3 linked regions of the Lepisosteus oculatus genome follow. The protein of the gene in region 1 interacts with the protein of each later gene in a biochemical or structural test. Links are inferred from orthologs where the notes say so. Each region holds a gene or a part of one and is shown on either strand. Other genes may lie near its edges.

Region 1 (6,863 bases):
AGCAGCGGACTTGACTGGGCTCTGCGCGTCAAGACCAGGGGATATCAGATGGAATCACTAGGCTGACCACACACGTCACAGCGTCGGGACAGGATTATAAGCTCCACCGCTGTTTGCCTGTGACAGTGCCCAGCACCAACCCCATTACCCAGGGCTGAGCGAACTCGGAGCCAAAGGCAGCCCAGAGCACTGCTGTGTCTCGAGCGCCTGACTGTCAGGCTCCGTTCTATTCCTGTCCCTGTCCAACAGTGCACAGCCTGTCGCAGCCCAGTGCCGAGGACCAGCGTCTCACTGCGGGCTGGTGCCGGGAGGACACGGCGAAGCAACACGCCGGCTTGCTCCCTGAACCAGCCCACCTCACCGGAGGAGCCGGGGAAGCAAAGGAAGCCGCAGGGGAGTCGAAGCTGGGGGTCTCGTTTCTACACGCCCCCGAAATCTCGCCGGGCTCGGACCTCACTCACGCCCAGGCCATGAACAGCCCCTCGTGCTCAAGAGAACAGGCTGCTTCAAGCGCCGTCTTTGTTCACGAGAAGCAGGCTGTTAATCCTCAAGCTTTCGTTTCTCTGAAATTTGTGGGATAGTCAGGTCTAGGTCTTGTGATTGTTCCCGTGAGCGAAGCCAAAAGTCTGACCCCGCAGGAACGCCATCAAAAGTGTTATTTTGATTTCTCCCGAGTTCTCGTCAGCCTCTAACGAGTGCCTCAGCAGATCAGTTCCCACCAGGCAGGAAGCGGAGGAATGGAGAGGGCGCTGGGTGGTGGTCACAGCCCGGGGCTCTTAACTGGAAAGCTCTCCCCTCTGGACAGGGTTCAGCTGTACCTTCGAGCGAGGTGTTCAGTATGATCCGATTTGTGGGTGGTTGTGGTTTAAAGACACCTAAACCCTGTCTTCAGCCCCGGTTTGCAGTCAGCTGCTGTTTATACCACAAGGTCACACGTATGAAATCATACGTACACTCACCTGGTCACCAAAACCAGCAAGTCAGGTAATAATCCTGGCTGACACTCAGGGGCCTGTCTGTTAGGAAGGTGCTGTCCTATTTACTGACCAGAGAGCGGCAGGGCTTCTCGGTATAGCGCAGGGATCCCCAACATTTTCCAGCAGGGCAGGACTCCGTTTCAATGCATCACAACACATCAGTGTCAGTAAGGACCCTCGAAACTTAAAGCCCATTAAGAATAACAATTACTGCAAACCGAAGCAACTCAGGTCGGTGCTGCAATTGTGAAATAGAGTGTCGTGGGAATAGCGAACGTTTTGCATATATTACACATTTATAAAGACGTACTGTGCTGTGGTCGACAGCGCTTCCGCTCCTAAAACGTTTCCATTAATATCCCACTCGAATACAGCAGCGCCTATAGCCACACACACACTTTCACAGCGAGGTGTGGGGGCAAACAAGCCGGGCTATAGCTTTCTCCCTGCCCTGCCCTCACAGGCAGCAGAGCCGGTCACTGCCACACACGGGCGGGCCAAGAGTTTTACCTCTCGGCGAGTGGCGCGGCGTGTCAATTACACTTGGCCCCTTAAATCTCCCGTGCCCGCTGCGTCCTTCCCAGTTAACATCCGTCTCTCCCACTCCACCCCCGGGACTGAACATCCGGCGATCGCCGACTCCCCCCGACACAGTTCAAGATTCGGGACGGAGCCGAGCCAGACCACGGTACTGACACACTGACAACCCCGGCGGCACACCGAGACCTGGCTCGTCTGTGGATACGGGGCCACCTGCGAGAACACCGCCTCTAGATAAATTATTAAAGGTTACCGTATCACTTCTGTTCCCCTATCCGTTGATGGTGTCGGGACACTTCAAAAACAAGCGACACCGCATCTCCATATGCATGAACAACAACAACAACAAAAAAGAAACGGAAACATAAAGCATCTGGAATTTAAAGTGCGAATTGCACAGCGGGAACTGAATACCTCATTTGCAAGCGCTTGAATTTAAGGTTAAGCGCACCTTGAACCGCCGGGGGGCGAACCTGCAAACACAATCAAGGATGGAGCTACCCACTGGGCGAGACGGGATCATTTTAGTGTTATAACACCGCTCTTTTTTTTTTTGGTTTTGTTTTGCATTGCACTCCAGAGAGCAGAATATTGACGTTGCTACGACTACTAGTGTCGCGCCGTGAAACGAGAGAACTGAGATGACACGCACCTCGGCGAGAAACAAAACAGAGGGCAGGCTGCGGAGAGGCGCTTGGCTGGGCTAACCCTACTAGTCCCCGGTTTAAGGAAATGCCTGAGGAGGCTGGAGTACAAGAACAACAGGACGGAGAAGTGTTTTCTCTGGAAGGGAGAGTACCAGGACGTTCCGTTCCCCGGCGCCGAGCTCGGAGCCCGGCCAGGCAGCTGGGACCCCGGACCAACACCGTGCGCGTCGGCTGTGAATCCAAGCATGCCCCCCCCGAGCCTCCAGCGGGCACGGGGGTAGGGGACAGCCAAGCAGCCGGAGCCGTCGTCTACTCACGGTGTGCGTGTTGCTGCCCAGCCTGGACTCGTATCCTTGGAGGGCTCTGCAGCTGTCGGCTTTGTCCGCGCTCCTCCGGCTCACCCTGTGCTGCCCGGAGCCCCCGGGCGACTCCGCGCTCGACGGCCAGGGGAAGCTGAAGACATCCTCCAGCCTCCCGGTCTTGACGAACGTGGACTGCACCCCGCGGCTGGCTCTGTCGCGGAAATCCACGCACAGCGCCAGTGGGAACAGGAAGAACACCACGCAGCGGCTGCGGGGGATCGGGAGGCGCATCGTTCACGGGAAGGCGAGGGAGCGAAAGCGCTTGAAAATATATATGTTTTTTTATTTAAAAAAAACGTCCATAAATGCCAGGCCGGTTTTTGCGAGCGGTCCCTCTCAAACCACAAAGGTAATGTAAACACGCACAACCCACTAAGCCAGCAGCAAGCGATATCCAAGCACCAAACAGCACATAGGAGTTAAGCGGCTTTGAGGGTGGAGATTCACTTCACACCACCTACCTCCCCCAGACGGCTAAGCGATTGGCTGCTTTGACGCTGAACGCCGGTGCTGATTGGCTCTATTCAGCTATCGATCACACGTACAGCCCTTGGACTTGGGAGTGATTTATCTCATTGGTGGATTCAACCCCACCTCGTTGAACAGCTGAGAGGCCACGCCCACTCCGCAAATCTGCCTATCAACGTGGTTCCCATTGGTTGACGTCTCTCGGCCGGAGGATTCTTTTTTTTCCTCATTGGCTACACTCGACAGGGATCAGGAAAGAAATGTGATCCCCGAACTTCACTGTCAACAATTAAAAATGCAGTCAAGGTTGGTTGGCGGCTATGCGATGCCCCCATCTCCTGCGAAAGATCACATTGCAAGTGTGTGATTTTGATTAAGTAACGTGATATTTGTGACAGCGTCAGAGGCAGTGTGGCTCAGACATATAATTTGCTTTTCCCATCCGCGGTAACATCAAGTCTTACTCTACGGGTGTTAACTAGATGAGTTTCTGAAACCGGAGACCAGCACACAATAACAGTACAACAGACACAAACAAGTGCTTCTACTTATTCTCTGAGGTTTAATGATTAAAAAAGTATTTAGATGTATACCGTATCTGCAGAGTTGCGACTAAATGTGTCGTAAAAGCATACGACATCCAAGTTAAACTGCTCCGATGTATGGAAAATAAAATTAAGACACTTCCTAAACTTTGTACATTTTATGAATGGGTCTTGAACTGCAGCGCCTCGGAACTCTTTATTGCAATTAGTGGTACGTTACTGCTGTGGTTTCTGTCACGTGACCGAGCAGCCAGACAGATCTTGCAGAATTACTGTTAAAATAATGATGCATTATTGTTCTGCACAGTCGCGTCAATCTCTGACATGAAAAATATCGAGACTGCCGAAGCAACTGAAGAAAACGACGGTACTTAATAACGGCATATCTTAAATTACTCAATAGTGGCCGCACAGGGCGCGGGTTTCAACACTTACAGCTCCGCTCCGCGCCAGCTTCATGCCAGTCCACGGGCGGGTAAGTAAACGCTACTGCAGACGGGTCAGTTCAGCAGTAAAATAAGTTATACACTTTAGAACTTCACTTCATAGCTCAGGACGAACACGGACAAGACGGATTAACTGTACTGCGTTTTCCTAGCACTTTAATTCCCACCTGGATTTTTTTAGTAGAGGTTTTGTGCAACAATGCATTTGGACCCAGCGCCCAGTGTGCCCTTTCAGCCCAGAACATTTTGTACCACGTTTGTACCAGGCAGCGGCCCAGAGACCTTCCAAACTCTTGACAGGATGAGCAGTAGTGCTGCCAAACTTTTGGTCCACATCAGTTGCACTTTTGGCAGAAAACTGAAAGACTGAAAAACTAACCTACCAGGAACTTCTAACGAGAGGTAGTAAATCTCCTCTGTAGGTGGCCTTGTGCAGCAAACAAAATGATTCGCAACACTAAAGACATTTTTTAGTGGCTCAAAGTAGTACAGTATTTTCCTAATGTGCCACATCAAATAAATAAGGTAAGGACAAAGGTCCATTTCAATCTATCAGAATCAAACAATTGGGCAATTATACTGACTGAATTATAAAATATTTAATTCTTGCAGGTCTATCAGATAGGTCCAGATATGCAAAGACAACACAGTTGCCAGATCACCCAATGTGTTCACACATTGTGCTCTGACTTGCAAAGGAACAGACCAGGAGTCACGTATGCGATATGTTTTGGAATACAACAGATTTATTGAGTCAAGTTGTAACAAAAATTACACATCACCCCTTTTTTTGCCTTTAGTCCCAGTTCTCATGTTGTGCTGTATTATGTACAGACTTGTAAAAATCACAAAAGAAAGGAAGAAAAAAAAATACAAACAGTAGATTCCTGCTTATTCACTGAAACCGCATTACTGTGTGTGCGTCTCAGGAGAGCTAAAAAGGCATTGGTTACCATCTCTTGCACCGCAATCCAGGAACGTCTGGTGTGCTCGACTGTTGTGGGAGTCAGATCTACTAAAAATCCGTCAGTGCCAGCTTGCTGGACTTTAAATATCTTTAATAACCTCTTCTAGCTCTTCTTTCGTGTACATGTGAAATGTCTTCCCAGGCTCTACTGTAGCAAGCTGTCGGAGAGAAAACAATATTAATACTTATGATGACTGCCCAAACAGCCCCAACCACAAGCCCACATGATGTGGCCAAAGTCCTGATATCCCTCTGGGACAAAATGCATTTGTGCACGCAGAAGGCATTTCTTAGAAAACTGTAATTATCCATTCTGGACAGTCCCAAGTGTGTTTGGAGCTTCTGTCAGTTTTGCTAATAGTAACTGCAATGTGAGGCATGTTCTTTAGGACACACTGTGTACGCGCTATTTCATAGCTTTTTGCCTCCTACAACAAGCGCTATTTTTGTAAGCTGTATTCTATTTTATTAGGTAGCTTGCTCTACTGGAGGTCTCCTGGGATGAAACTGCCTGCCAAACACAACAGTACTTGTTATAATCAACACTACTTGGTAATAGCAGCAGCAGGGGAGGATTCTCACATATCGCACAATCCTGAGAGGTAGGTTTAGTACTCCATCACTCATACAGAGTCACAGATCACAAAGCTGCACACACTGGGCTGCACAACACGTTCAACCTAGCAGGTGGAGTCCTGCGTCCCTCCATTTCTTTCCTCTCATTTCCATTGAGCTTCCAAAGCAGATAAACGGGGAAGACGTGTCTGGCTTTCAAAAGCAGTGGGCTCTATTAAGAAGTAATTAAAGGTCTTAAATAAGCTGCTTCAGCAGAAGCAAATATAAAAAAACTTAGACTCACTTCCCCAGTACTCTGTCCTTGATGTAACAAATATGTAACTAACAGCTGAAATCACTTTAGACTGCATTAAATGCAAAGTTAAACCTGAAGATGTTAAAACACCATGGATTCAATTCCACTAAAGGCCTGAAAAACGTGAACCCCGATAAAAAAACTGCAACCTGCCTGACAGTAACTACAATCTTATAAACCCAGCACTTCATACCGGGCGGGGATCAACAAGGTAAAGAAAACCACCATCAGGGCACAGGGCTTTCAGGACAGGAGGCCAGAAATATTACAGGTCTCCCCTGAGCTGCTGTTGGGCTTGTGAGACTACTGGGTGGAAGTCAATGCATTTGTCTGCAACTGGCTGGATCTGTGAACAAGATGGATCTCAGGGATGTTGGAAGGGAAAGAGTGATATACAGGGGGTAAAAAATCATCAGGAAATGAAGATCATCTACCTCTATGTTTGTTGCATTCAGTTTTTCCTCCATGACCTGCTTCAGGATGGTGAGCGAAGATTTGATGGCATCTTTTAAAGTCATCGACTGGAAAAAACAATTTATGAAACAACACAAAAAGATCAACATTTGTGGGCTTCAGGTTTTCATCCTGATATTTGCATTGCTTCTGCTTGTTCCACAATCTCTTGGAAGGGGAGAAAAAAGAAAAAACAAGGAAATTTTGTTCTTGAATATCAAAATGAGATTATCCATTCACTGCACAACAAGGCAAGAGTCAGATGCTGTTTCTAATGACAGGCATGTGATGTAAACGCACTAGTCTGACAGGATGCTAGGCCGCAGCGACACCCATGACTGCAGACTGACGAGGGGCAGTACCAGGAGACTGAGCCCGCCTGTCTCGTTGAGCGGTATCAATCCCAGCTGCGGGGCTGTTGAAGGTTGAGCTCTGCTCCCTGGATGTTACAGCTACACTCATCCCGGGCAGGACAGCGGTCTGGGGGCTGTTACAACACCATCCCTGCTGCACAGACAGAAGACAGCTATTCCCTGGCAGCAAAGGCCAGACTCCAGACCAGGGGAGATCCCAGTCGTGTAGCCACC
Region 2 (7,212 bases), on another chromosome or scaffold:
GTCCGGCGTGTTTCAATTAACTCGTTTCAGTGCAGTATAGATGTTTGCAAAAGAGGTGTCAGAATTTTCCGAAGATTTGAAACAAGTGTATTTTTTTAAACAAATACTAAATCATATCTGTTGTCAGGCGTTCATGGAATTGCTGGAATAAATGTACACTTGACGGATTTACGTACGTTGCCCAGAGCGAAGTAAACTGGTTGGAGATTCGTCGTCTCCCGAGTGAATAAGGCCAACAGCCTTAAGGGCTGATTCTGCGTCACGTCACTAGGAATTGTTGGTGTTTCAGGAGAAACCCCCTCATTTCTCTATTAATTAAATATAGCCTATTAGCTGACTCTGCGAGTGTAATTTTATCCCGGTACATGAATTTTTTAAAGAGACTGTGTAATTATCTGCCGCTTTTTTCACGTCCAAACGAATGAAACTGAATCTATTTAAATATTGAAGTTCTGCCCCCGATCAATCACTGAGATAAAGAGTGAAGCCGAGAGGCTCAAAACGTACTGTATATGCGCATTAATTTGTCAGACGTGTACTTAACACTCCCAGTGTAGCGAAGCCTTCCGGAAAAAAAAAAAACAACATAACGATTTTGCTTCTGGAGGACCCGAAGCGTTTTAAAACGATGATTCAGTTGTGGGTTTACACTAAACGACCGAAGGCGAAATCATTTTGGGACGTGTTTCGGGGGGGATGGAATTGTAGCAGTGACAGGTTTCTCCGGCTCTTTCCTGCCCCTTTAAGAATGCACCGGGAAAGAAAGCACGTTTTCTGTAAATATTTGCAATTCGTACACATGGGGCCGTTTCGTGACCAAGGTTAGAACGTTTACTTGTTAGGTGATCAAGAGGATTTCTGACCACTCGAAGCAAATCTTTGAAGTCGTTCGAAATCCCTTTTGTGCGCATGGTTATTGATTGGGCAGAGATGGCTCATTGGTCACTCCAACAGGTGAGGGCCGAGGCGTGCTTTTGAAAGCGCTGCCGCTCAGAGTGAGCTCAGGAGCACGGGGTCTGTGCCTCGTTGGGAGAAAGGGTATCTAGTCGTGTGGCCCTGACGTGAGACGTTCGCTACTGAAGTATTTACAAGACAAATGTGTACCTTCACAAGGTATGGTTTACCACGTAAACCTGGGCTGTGACGTAGGGGCAGGGTGCATTGCTGTGAGGCTTTCGGATGCCGGAACATTCTTTCGACTTCTCTGCTCCTGGCACACAATACACAACAGCCGCGAGGAAACTCCAGCTCGAATCCATCTATATATAAAAGCTCTAGTCGGCCCTGGAAGTTCGAGAACAATGAAGGTTAGACCTAGACCATGCATCCGAGGGTTAATTAGATGACATCTCTCTGGATCAGTACAGAACGGGAAGGGAAAGATTGCATTTGATCTTTTTTTTTTGTTATTGAGTTGTGACTAGAATCTAATTCACCAATCGACCTGGTAACCTGCTGAAACGCACTGGAATCTAATAGCGGTTTTTTTTTGGCTACTGTACGTCACGGTACTACCCGACCCAATTATGGTAATCGGACAACATTTAAATTGGGAATGTTTTATTATTATTCTGGCACCAGGAGAGAAGGCTCGTCTGCAAGGTTGTTTTCGCCCAACATGATGTTTTTTTTTTAAATACGTCGAGTTACAGGTATTTAAAGGTCTATATACTACAAATTCCTGAGTTTCTATACGGCCCGGCAGATACAAAATACATTTCCTGCAGATTATTGGCGAAACGCGTTCCTGACCCACGAGGGTTCTGGCACACTTCCCAAGTATTGTTTTTATAGCGCTGCAGTAGTGGATACTGGTTAATAGACAGATAAGCAGGCAAGGGTAACCCAGTGGTTAGCACTGCTGCCTAGCAACACCGCGGTCCTCTTGGTTCAATTCTGGAACCAGGGGACTGTCTGTGTGGAGTCTGCATGTTCTCCCTGTGTTCACGTGGGTTTTCTCCTGGTGCTGCAATGTCCCCTTTTAGTCCAAAAACATGCTGGTTGGTTAATCAGCTCTGGAGCTGTGGATTAAGTGGTAGAAAACAGGCGAATGGCTAAGCAGGCCAGCTAGAGGAAGAGAACTATGACTTCAGGTTAGTTAATTATAGGAATTGACATTCGGCGAGTGCTGCTACATATTTTTGTCCTTAAAAAAAATACATGAATTGAATAAATAGGATAGTGGTAGAAGATTATTTAATGTTACTTGTCGGACAGAAGGGCTTTTCACTTATAGTTAAATGCAGGCTTCCAAACGTCTCTCTCTCTTTTTTGCAAGTATTAATTGACCTTCGTAGAGTTTTTCATGCAAAGACTTGAATTCCTGCTTTACTGTGAAAGTCTGATTCCACATGAATCCACAGAAGAGCAGGGAGCCAAGGGAGCTATGAGCTCAGTCCCCCTCCACTTAGACCATAGTGTGTTTGTGTTAGTGGTGCCGTGTCTTTTGCCTGACACTCGCTGACCGCACTGGTCTCATGAGTCAAATATGAAAATCGTGTTGCACACAAAGGATATGAAACTGCGATGCCCCAAACAGCACATTAAAAATCTGTCTGCATGCATATGCACACTCATTGACAGCAAAAAATGGAGAAATAACGTACACCTGTTTTTTGAAAGCACAAAGCAAAACAACGTTTACCCAGTCTAAATCAACACTAGCCCTAATTTAAAAAACAAGTGGCAGTGTCATCATCTGTTGATTCTTTTATTAGTTTTACACATGACCTGCAGAGCTAGCCTTAGCAGCCAATAGGAAAATTGCACTCTAAGCATGATTAAAATCTCTGCATATTTTTGCATCTTTCATTACAGCACAGTAGGACGGTATCATAGTAACTTCCAACAGAAATAACAACACTTACCCAAGAATCAAGCGTATTGAAAGGTTTATGGAGTTTATTAAGGTTTAGTCACAATAAAGTTTCGGCTGAACCTGTGTGGGTGAGGGCTGACCTCCTGGCCAGAGAATGAGGAGGCTGGGACCCCCATACAGAGTGAGGGGTGACCCAGGGGCAGCTGCAGAGGGGGAGATGGGGGGGAAGAGGGAGGCAGGAGACCTTGTGTGTGAGAGAAGGAGAGAAGGGGGTCACATACAGTATTTATAGTGTTTTAGGAAAGGAAATGACATTAGGATTGATTACAAATTACTGACAGCTGAGGCTGATTGAACTTGGCTGTTGGAATACCTCCCGAACTTTCATTATAAACTCCATTAAATAACTGTCGAGAAAGGTTGTTTACATTATTTACTTTTATTGCAGAATCCACTCCTGACTGTTTAACGCAATTCAGTTTCTTGTAGCATTCAATAAACAAGCTATGATGAGTTTGAATGGAGTTGCCTCATTCAGTTTTCCTTGAAGAACGTTTTTCTTAGAAAGAACGTCATTCCATTAGAACTATGGTGCTTGTCCCTGATTTTTCCAGGAAACACCAAGTAGCCTAATTGTAGCACGCACGATCCGATTTTTGGACCTTCCAGAATTCTTAATTTTCTATCTGCAGGAATGTAGACATTTCCAGGAAGTCATCAAGTCTGGTTCTGGAAGTCACCTTTCCACAGATAACAAGAAAGCTTAGGGTCACTGAAAAAAAAAATCTTAGGAGTTTACTGTTGCTGATATTATCAAGACTGTCACTACAATGACTTTGGAAGTGATGAACAAAAATAAACTTAAGAGAGCCAAAAAAAAAATAAACAGAACAGTCCTTCTCTGTCCAGGAAGATTTGATTTGTTTTTTTGTACAATCTCAGTGAAGTGAGAAAGATTGTGATGGTTATGCAATGCAGAACTTCTTAGGAAAGTGCATTCTTTGGAAAGAAGTGACAATGAACATGCATTTGTGTGTTTTTTATACTGTAGTGTTTTCAAGGAAGGGTTTACATCTCAATGAGGTTAATGTAAGCCATGTCTGGATTGTCATATCAGTTAACTTCAAGATAACCTTTGGAAGAAAACTAAAACACAAACCAGTGGACAAGAACATTGAATTCTGAGAGAGGGAGGCACTATACACTAGGTAACCGGAGCAATAATTCACATTGTTGGATACGCTGTTAAAGTAGAAACAATTATTATTGTGCTGCAAATGGAAGTGGCACAGAGCAGGGATTCAATTGTGTTTGTTAAAAAAGTCATTGAAACATTTTGCCATATGCTTTATGTTAAGGAAGCAATCCTGTATTGGTCCAATAGGGCTTTACTGTAATCTCTTTTTTCGGGATTAAAAGGACACTATATATCCTTTAAGGAAACAGTGCAGCCCCCTTGAAAAGAAGAGATGATAGCGCAATTACCTTTCATCTGTTAATCTAGCAGTGCCAGTCTCTCTTCTAGTCCCTCTAGCAGGCATGAAGAGGACGGACCCCAGCCTATATGTAAAGCCCACAACTTGTCAGCAGGTCACATTCTGAAATGACAGTCAGATTCTGTTTTTCTTGCTCTGGCCCCTAATCCCTGCTCATCGCCTTCATGGGACTTGCAAGCAGGCACCAAGCAAGAGGAGAAAACCAGCGAAGTGAAGAGGTGACTTTCTGGCTCATCCTTCTGCACAGAGACGGAAATGAAGGAGCGTGTGGGAAAAGAGTACTTAGCACCAGAGCTGAATTTAGCTGAATGTCACCCCTGTAGAGTAATGAGAGAAACTAGACTCACCAGCAGAGAGCACAGCAATTTAAATAGGCAAATAAGATTATAATAGAGGACACCGAGACTGCCGGGTGTCTCCCAGTCTTTCTCCTTTCTGGACAGCGTAATGTTTAAAAATAAATGATGAAATGTGCCACCCCTGGAATGGAAGCTGAGCTACGCACCGCAAGTGGTAAAAAAAGGCAGAAGTTCTTTTGCAAGACCGAGCCGACGTGGAGATTTGAAGTGACCCAGGTAATATCTCAAGGCCTGTTAATGTGTGTGGGCTTGTTCTGCACTCTCCTCATTTCAAAAGGTGTCATTCCAGTGTTGCAGGAGCAGTTCATTATTGTCTCATTAAACGGTAATGGTTGTGTGTCTTCAATGATTGTCCTTCATTTCTTTCTCAGTGTAATTGTGCAATCATTAGCTCTGGGAGATAGAGTATAAATAAAGCAATGTTGGGCTTTTCGTTTTCTTTAAATGGGGATTAGCTTCACTGAAACAAATAGATTCCCCAAATATTCATGGTGTGTTAAATCTAATTTATGACCGTTTTTTGATACTGTAATTCTTTTTACAATCGCCAAATTGACCTTCTCTAGGTATAGAAAATTGTAAGTCAGCCGCCGTAATCAGACGTCCGAACCCCAGCTGCAGGTGAAATTGTATTTCACAAATTTAAGGAAAAGGTATTTGTATTGGGGTATTTTTTTTTCCCCCGAATTGGAATTATCACAGGCAGCCCCAGAGTACTGCAGTGGTTCATGGATGTGATTGTGGTTTAACTGGATCAGAGTTTTGAGGACAAGTCCTATTGATTTTCTTTACTGAAACAGGAAATAGCCAAATAAAAAAAGAGCGTCAGTCACCCGGCAAGAAGAAAGCTCAGAGGAGTAACTAGCAATTGGATTCTAATGAGTTACACGGCCTCCATTTCTGTGGAGTGTCTTGTGCGTGACATTTGCAGCCTTGTTAAACTGTCAGGCACAGCCTTTCTTTCCCTCTAATGCTGTGCCCTGTGATAGTCGTTAAGAAAAAGAAAAGAATTCATGTATTAAAAGATGTGCTTAAGTTACACTGGGACATATTTGACTTTCTGTGGGTTTTTATTTCAGTGAGGAAGTAGATGGACAACTTAAGTAGTTTGTTTTCTCTAGCAGCGGGTTAAAGATAGAGAACTCCTGGCCTGAAGTGCTGTAAAATGTCGCTCACGGAAACATGGTATAATGTAGTAAAGCACAGTGAATGGCTTGTATATAGAATATGTGTGGTTCCAGTTTAAAACATTGGAAGAGCAGGAAAAATCACTAGGGTGAATGTGTTAGTGGCCCGAATTTGATCAAGGAGGGATCTAGTCATGAAAACTGGCCTATAACCATATCCCCAGGTGTTGATGGGGAGTTGCTGAAGCCTGATGACTCTTGCATGTGGAGTTCTAAATGGACGTTCTGTAGAAGGTCAGACCCCAGTCTCACCCACCTCAGCTTCCCTGCATGCAAGGACCTCACCTCCAGAGTGCCCACTCTCCGATCTTCTCTCGCACCCCATCCTCACCCTTACAGCAGTCCCCTTGCGCTTTCCTTGCCAAAAAGAGGGGTCTGTCAGCTTTGTCCCTACAGTTCCGCCAATTAACCAGCTAATCCCTATCATGCCTCTATTGCGCATTAAATAAGGTTTGGTGAAACCGCTGAAACAGGACTGTGTCCTTGGAATTAAATAAAAAACACCTTGCAGAGAATCCAGGCTGGCTGGGTTGTAGAAGTTATTTTCTCTCTTTCTTTTTTAGGAGAATTTGCTGTTTATCCAAAACGTCAAGCTGAGCTCTTTAAGTGGAAAAGAAAATGTTGCACCAGAGCCCACTAGTTCAAAACGTTTCTGGGAATCTCATCTGCACTCTCCTCAGTTTGTGATTTAGGAATTTGGCTGTGTTTGGAAAGGATGAATTTACAGTCCTGTTCCCATAGGAACTTAGTGGGTAATTCATCAGACGGCTCTGCTTGTAATCTTATACTGTACATGTTACCATTCAAGTGTGCTTGCGGAGAGTAGCATTGTTTTTCTGCTGAGACTGAATCACTGTGCTCACCATGTCATTTAAAAACAGGTCTTAATACAAGAAAGCAAATCCTTTCGTGTAGCAGAATTCCACCGCTATCAAAATATAAATGTGTCTAATTGATGGGAATTGGAGCAAACAACTCCCAGAACTGCTTAAAAAGTAGCGGAAAACAGCTTGGTTTGCTAAGACCTGATGTTCTTGTGCAGACAACCTGTTTCAGTAAGTCTCCAGAATTATTTGCAAACCGTGAGCTGTGAAATGTTTCGAGTGTGAAGCCTTCTCTCGATTTGGCAGAGGTGGATGAGTAAGCTCTAGGTTTTAAGGGGATTCTTTTTAAAAAGAATGTACATGCTGTACTGGGTGCACCAAAAAAAAAAAGCACAGGCATGCCTTTTCATTTACTCATATCATTCATATGACAGGACAGAGTAAAAGAGGCAGCTTCAGAACTTCTTTAATTCATTGCCGTTCATTTGGCTTCATTTGAAAAAAATCCAGTCGCCACATCACAAATAC
Region 3 (7,725 bases), about 6.8 Mb from region 1:
CATTTCAATTGACATTAAATTGAGCAATTAAACAGGGCCAACACAATGCTTGAATATATTATTAAACGTGTAGAATTTACATCAAGGGGAGCCATGATAAAATTATATGTTCCTGTAGTTATTCTTCATTTGGAAAATGTCTTTGATTTTGGTCTTAAGCCAAAGACAGAAATTGCTGCACTAGCGGCAACACAAAGAGTAGAACTCAGTCTTACTCCTGGCCTGAAGTTACTAAGGCAGACTAAAGGGAACTGAATCTTTTTAGACTGAAGAGCATGGTAGGAGTTGATTTACTGTATGTACTTAAATTCCTGAGAGTCAAAAAGCCAACTTGGGAACCACCTTCAAGGCCACCAACAAGAGGACTTGGGGACACAAGTGGAAAATAAGATTAGTGGGATTTTAGAGCAAGATGATTATGGGAGTCTGGGACCAATGTCCAGGACACACTGGAAGATTACACCTTAGGTATCTTTGGGACAAAGTTGAATTGATTTTCTAAAAAATTAAAGCCAATAACAATTAAATCAGGGAGAAAGTAAAAAAAAAACCTCTCATATGCATCCTAAAAAAAAAGGCTAATCATGATGCATGTATTTAAAATTAATACAGGGAATTGCTGTAAAGTAAATTATTTGAAAAATGTGGTAAAGCAAAGACATTTTGTTCTAATTATTTTTATTTAGATATACATTACATTAAATGTATGACAGAATTATAGCTCTGTAAAGAAAACAAATCAGTCCTGTTATTTAGTACATCTGCCATAACTGTATGATGTTTATACAGTTATTTTCCAACTGTACGAAAAGAAGACTTGAATACTTGTCCATTGAGCTCGGTTTGAGGTTTTTCACCCTTTTTCTTTTTCACACTACAACACCTCCATGCTCAACTAGCAACTTTTATGTGCTTTATGCTTTTCAAACGCTAATCCAGGGATCAGCCGGAGGAAGCCTTGAGGCTGTGACTGCAGAAAAAAGGGGAACGTTTATTTAAGCTGCCTGCAGCCAAGACCCCAGTCCTTTCCCCTGGCAAGCAGAGGTATCTGTCAACAGGGTTTGGCTTTTGACCCTATCTCTAAAATGGTTTGTGGAGGAAAGACGTACAAAAACAAAGATCAATCCCAACAATCGAAGAGTAGGTGTTCTGCAACCATATCTTTTCAAAGAGTGTGCAGCCTATGTCAACTGTTAAGTCATTAGTAAAAATCAGCTTCAATAACACCTTGGCTGCCCTTTGATCAATGAAGACAGAAAAGCCATAGAAAAATAAGAAGGTGCTTAACAAAACACAGATTAAAAGGGCAAGTACCTTTGCCACACTTTTTCTGTGCTTTTAGAGAGCTCATTAATGCTGGTAAGTGGCTTTATACTGTATGAATACTTACGGAATGTTTGTGGAGTGAGTAAATGTGTGCGTCACAAGTATTTAATTGAAAGGGAAATTACACCTCACTCACAAATAACTGTGTGCACATGTACGGGGAAGAAAACTGCTGTGTTTCTTGTTCACTGAAGAATAACATTACTGAAGAATTAAACAGTTATCTGTATGTTGTTTAAATGCAGCCTGAGAAAAAAAGAACTTTTCTCTAAATCCATTTGTAAAACATTTTTTTTTAAGAACACTGAATTAATTTCTACTTTAATGTACCTTCTTCATTTAGATTCGTATAAGAGTATATAATATGTAATACAGTATATACAAATGGAGTATTAAAGGCTTTTATGCTCTGTAATACCGTATGTACTATTCAAAGTGTATACTGTATAAAGTAAACACACTGAGAGGCAGTAAGAAAGCAACAAGTGCTGTTGATTCTTGCTCTTTTTTCCTTTAAGTATATTTACTAGCAATGCTACAATGCTTCATGTTTATAATAATGACTGTACAATAAAATAGATTATTTCTGAAGGTTTTCTTTTTTAACATCTGAGTTTTTATAAACATTTGAGTTTTTGTAGTTCATTCCTTGAAAATCTTCAGTACAGCAGGAATTTGGTTTATTTTAAATTCACTAAGGTTACAGTTGGTTTCACTTATGGATTCTTTTCCTGAAGTTGCAATCAATCTAGCTTCTTTCTAGTGCTTTCTATGCCTGTACATTTGTGAAATTCTTTCTTATTTCTGTCCGAGCTAATACTTTTATTATTTCTTAGTAACACACACCAAATTATTATATATAATAATAGTAATAGATTTAGTGTTTTACAAGTCCATGCAACATTGAAAAAGCCATCATTTAACTGTGGTTTACATTTAAGTTGTTTTACTAGTTGTGTAACATGAGGTGTGTATATATTATCTTCAAAAGAAAGAATGAAAAAAGTCAATGATGATTGCTGTAACCTGATGACTTTAAACCAGGGGGGCTATCCCACAGGGTATCAATGAGTGGCTATTTCCCACTGAAGACTTGTCCATGCAGCTCAGGTAGGTACTGTGGCTCTTAGAGAGGAAATTGGGCAGCTGTAAACTGCAACTATTCATTTAGGACCTGGCAAGTTGGGACAAATAAACATCTGAAAAGGAACATGTTCACTTCTGTCTTTAGGGGGGTTTGGCATTAAATATGACTGACAGACAAATAATTCCCTGGAGGGGCTGCTGAACTTTTGTTTTTAAGTGGACTGCAAAAAAAAAATATTATTTGCTTTACTTCATATGCCTTGCTTTTTATGTAATTACAGTACTACAGTACAGCTACAGACGTTCTGTGATGACATAATCTATACTTTCCTTTCCGACAGGTACAGTATCAACACAACTGTCTCTTTCACCAGACTTCTAAGCACGCGACAGAAGAATGAGAAAACAGCAGAAAAAAAAGTTTCCTACCTCAGACTGTTCTTTCCCTGGCCAAGTGTAAAGTCCACAAAAGCTTAATTCCACCTTGCACACAAGTCCACAGGATTATTCCCAAAAGTCACTCCAAGTTCCTCTTCTTTAGATTTAAAAGCCAGGTTCTGCCATTTACACTAGCCTAACTCCTACACTCTTTGAGAAATTGATTGTACTGAAACTTAGTCAGAAAGCTCCCAGTATCTTTCCTCTTAGCAGACAAAACCTGTGGGTCCTAGTGCCTGCCTAGCTGTCTCCAAAACATCACAGAGAGGGAAGTGAAGGAAGAGAGCCACTTGTTTTCTCCTTCTTGCTAATGTAACAAAATTCAGAGTCTTTATTGAATGTCAGAAGTTTGCTTCTTTTGCATTGCTCATTCAAGTGCAGACTTCTTATAAAAGTCATGCCTTAGTGTGAGACAACTAACAATAAGTCACTGGTCACTTTGAGTCACTTCAAATGAAACACTAATTTCCATCTTCAGCCTATATCCAGGATAAAAAAATCACAACAAATCTATCCTGTACACAGATATATAAACTAATGCATTAAACGGGGTGATACAGTATGTAAGGTCACATCTTTTACGTTTCCACAGAAGGAGAAGCACAGGTTGGAGAAAATTATTATCAACCCAAGGGAGGAAAGGATACTGTATTAACCTAAACAATGTCTTTAAATCACTACTGAGGGATGGTGACCAGCATTTGAAAACTCAACATTTTTAAATGCCGAAGCATTTACAGTATCACTGGTCCACTAAAGGTTATATTTTTATACTAGGTAGAAGAAAGGTTATAAGCATTTCCTATCCTTCTGTTTGCCAAGGAAATATTTGTCTGCAATTTCCGTTCTTGCGATAAATTTTTTTTCAGATCTTATTAAGTTAGAGAATTTAATTAGAATCTTTTAGTAGCAATCCTTTTAAGGCTTTTAAGCTTTTTTTTCCTGCAGCTTTCTGAGAAACATACAATTCTAAAACTGCATAGGTGCTCCCAAGACTAATTTCAGATTTGCTGTTCTTTGCAGAGTAAATTACTTTTATTGCTTCACATAATGACTAAGTATCTTTTCCTAGTGTACTTTCATTGAATAATTTACATATATATGGCAGATTTATTTTGTTGTGATATACAGTATAGACTTAAAGACTTATACTAATATTTATGTATAAAAGATTTCCCCCTTGTTTCCTAAGAAATCCCATAAACTTTGCACTAGTAATGTTAAAGTGAAGTTCTCTCAAGTATACCTAGTGAAGGTTCCTGGCTTTTTTTTATGTTATCAGGATGCATACTGAAGTTGAGGGATGGGGTGGCAGCAATTTTACACAGATTTTAGAGTTTTTCTCTGAAATTATAAATTATTCTGCTGTGCCAGCAGCTATATCACCCTGCAACTCACATCTGGCAACCCACTGAAGCTCAGCAGGTGTGAGACTGGTCAGTACCTGGATGGGAGACCTCCTGGGAAAAACTAAGGTTGCTGCTGGAAGAGGTGTTAGTGGGGCCAGCAGGGGGTGCTCACCCTGCGGCTCATGTGGGTCCTAATGCCCCAGTATAGTGACGGGGACACTATACTGTAAACAGGCGTCGTCCTTCGGATGAGACGTAAAACCGAGGTCCTGACTCTGTGGTCATTAAAAATCCCAGGGCGTTTCTCGAAAAGAGTAGGGGTGTAACCCCGGTGTCCTGGCCAAATTTCCCATCGGCCTTTATCAATCATGGCTTCCTAACAATCCCCCTCTATGAATTAGCTTCATTACTCTGCTCTCCTCCCCACTGATAGCTGGTGTGTGGTGAGTGTTCTGGCACACTATGGCTGCCGTCGAATCATCCAGGTGGATGCTGCACATTGGTGGTGGTGGAGGGGAGTCCCCATTACCTGTAAAGCGCTTTGAGTGGAGTGTCCAGAAAAGTGCTATATAAGTGTAAGCTATTATTATTATTATTCTGAAGGCTAGAAGTAAACATTTAATGATTCCACATTCTGACCTTAATGAATGTAATCTTTTCACAGAACAGGCCTTTAGCATTTGCTTTTGTGTCATAAACAAGTTAGAAATTAGTAGGGTACTCTTCTGAGCTGAAGAATGGCACCATGCCCCCGCTGATCAAATTCAGCACTAGCAGTACAGCCACCTGTAGAGCAGTAAATGCTGAGAGCTGCAGTGCTCATCTTGACCACACCTGCCTTTCAGAGAGCAACACTTGTCTCACGTAACACAACAAGCACACTCAGGGGAAACACCCTGCCACTGTGAACGCTTACCAGCCCGATCCAAGGGATATCACTTTCAATGCCTTCAGCAGTGCATGTATCCAATTCTTTGTTGTTGTTATTATTTTAAAATTACACAATAAATATGTATTACATACAGTAATTGTATTATAAAATCCAACATAATCTGATTATATATTAGGGGCATTACTTATAGGAGAAATAAAAAAAAAACCTCTCCCTATAAACATTTTCACTAAGTGCACTTTCACTAAGAAGGAAGGGTCTGCATCTGGCAGATAATATTTCTGTTGTCACATCAATTAAATATTTGCTTTGAAAATGACTTCTCAATACATAGAGGATTTGCCTCCCACTCCCTGACTGTTCCTCCTCCCATTCTTTACATGAGATTTGCAGTTTGTTCAGCTTTTGGAAAGTTTTCTTTGCAAGCAGTGGTGCTAAATGTTTGCACTGCGTGATATCCCTCTCTAATAGGTTTTCCGCTGAGTGCTTCTATCTGCATTCTTCTAAGATACAATGGTATGTTTCCTCACATGGAAACAGTTCTTTTCAATCTGTTCAATAAATATATTTGGTTTCGTTTTATTTTAATCTTTTAGGTTAGGGCCGGCTTGTATCGGGCTTATCTTTAATATATCTATTTCAAATGTTTTTACTAGAAGCACGGACAACAATATAAACTGGAGGATGTTTAATGACAGCAGTGTCCCAGGTGTTCTGTACATTATGTACACAGGTGAACATAAATGTGCCTTAATACATTCGTCCACCTGTCTAAATGCATCCCCCATACTGTCCACTGTTTTAGTCATCAGCTCTTGTGTGTTTCATGCTGTTTATTTTACAAGCATTAAACATATGAAATTTGGAACACAGTTTTAAATACATTAATATTATAAAGCTTATGATGTATCATTGTCATATAGTTAAGATGTAAAAGAACCTTTCTTATGACAGTATAAATTATAACACTCAAATCATTTCTAAGGGATCTAAGGGATTTAGTTTTTTTTTCTTTTCATTATTTATTGTGATATTAGTGGTTTTTAAAGTTGTGTTTGATATTTTTTGTACTTCTATTCATTTTCTCCTTCTACACAACATGGGAGAATCCAATGTGCCATTTTAACACACACAAAAAAAATCCCTATTCTGCAAGATTTGTGGTTTTTCCCAAATTTTTTCGTGAACAAATGTGAAAACATTTTTTTAACCCACTTTTTGGGTGTGAGTGGCCTCGTCAGTCACTTGCCATTGTTGACAAGCCACTTGGCTGAGAATCTGAAGGACAACACCTAACCCCAAGGGCACTCTCACCTGTCGCCCTGGTCTGAGAGGCGCTGGAAGTAAGGAAGGCCAAAAAAAGAGTAAGTTTTGTAAAGAATTCCGAATATTTGAGGTGTTTTGTCATCAGTGATGCTACGTGGCCAGAAACAGATATTTAGAGTGCTATGGACAAGCATGGGATTTTGTCTTAAGGTGGGGAGCTGCGTCAATGAACCACAAGAAAAAGGCTTGGCTAATTCTAAATATGGACTCTTTAACACGCACACAGGGTAGAAGATGTTCATGAGGTTTCTTGGACTTTCGAAGCCTGCCTATGCAGGCACAGTGTACGGCAGTAAAACCCCAAAACTACTTCAGTGTTTTACGATGAGCATCTGAAAAAAAATTATCTTGTTTGGCAGCCCTTTCTGTATTTGTTGGATATTAATGTTGTCCCAACACTCTATTTACAGTACTGTAGAGCTGTACACATACAGTATACAGTGATGCATTGCCTTCACGATCTTTGTATTTCGAATTGGAACCCTTCTGAATGAGCATACTTTATAGTGGGTGGTTTTCTCTTTCTTTGATTCCTACATTCTTATTAGTTTTTATCACTTTGAGATTCTGGCTCTGTCCTTTGTTTCATAAGTCACTTCTCAAAAAACAAAACGGAAACAATTTTCCACAGAAATAATTACTTGAAAGCAACAATTATGTACCACTTAAAGTTGATATAAATGAGTATTGGTCTTGTACTATAAGTGAAGAGCTGTTTGTGAAATATAGATTATAGTACAGCTGAACTTGTTAACAACAGAAATCAAAAAACAGTTTTAAAGGAAATTCAGAGTTTAGTGAAGGAATCATAGTATTCATGTATGCACTGAATTGCATAAAAAAGCTAAGACTGTTTAGATGATTTGGCCATTCCATCCCATTTGGTCATGAGTAGATTAGTGAACTCCTTTGAGATCCATCAAAGTGCTTCATACACGTGATGTTGAGTTTGTGTTTAATCTCTTGCGTTGCTGCAACCGCCTGGATTTATTGTTATAACAGCGTTTAAGACCCTGATAAAGCAGATGCACTGGTTCACTCCCTACTTCCTAGGCAGTCTCAAATTTCAGTCCCACCTTTGGAACCTGGAGTTATCATTACTGTATCCCATTGAGAGTGCATCTGGCTTCCATTTGGCAGACCTCCTAAGGTCACAATAGTATGTGAGTCAAATGTATTAACGGTTTCCTGGAGGACTAAGAATCTTTGAGAGGAAAAATCAAAGCATGCACCTCTGCTATTTTTCTATTATGTAACGCTATCTGTTTGGAAATTTAGCACATGTAGAATAAGAAATAGGTCTGGTGC

What was found.
Region 2: the proteins of sortilin (region 1) and bdnf form a complex in vitro, tested with the Homo sapiens proteins (2 studies listed by BioGRID and IntAct, with this or other methods). The link is inferred for Lepisosteus oculatus from reciprocal best matches to the Homo sapiens genes SORT1 and BDNF.
Region 3: the proteins of sortilin (region 1) and ngfb form a complex in vitro, tested with the Homo sapiens proteins (3 studies listed by BioGRID and IntAct, with this or other methods). The link is inferred for Lepisosteus oculatus from reciprocal best matches to the Homo sapiens genes SORT1 and NGF.

Annotation. Positions count from the first base shown.
Region 1 is NC_090700.1:39,850,216-39,857,078, forward strand, and holds the start of sortilin, read right to left. Parts: upstream 3,002-6,863; 5' UTR 2,758-3,001; coding exon 2,482-2,757; intron 1-2,481. Other genes in the region: psma5 (proteasome subunit alpha type-5), read right to left, coding at 5,033-5,110, 6,258-6,344.
Region 2 is NC_090716.1:3,157,271-3,164,482, reverse strand, and holds the start of bdnf (brain-derived neurotrophic factor), read left to right. Parts: upstream 1-4,211; 5' UTR 4,212-4,775; coding exon 4,776-4,889; intron 4,890-7,212. UniProt on the Homo sapiens protein: Important signaling molecule that activates signaling cascades downstream of NTRK2. During development, promotes the survival and differentiation of selected neuronal populations of the peripheral and central nervous systems.
Region 3 is NC_090700.1:33,083,031-33,090,755, reverse strand, and holds the start of ngfb (nerve growth factor), read right to left. Parts: upstream 3,002-7,725; 5' UTR 2,842-3,001; intron 1-2,841. UniProt on the Homo sapiens protein: Nerve growth factor is important for the development and maintenance of the sympathetic and sensory nervous systems.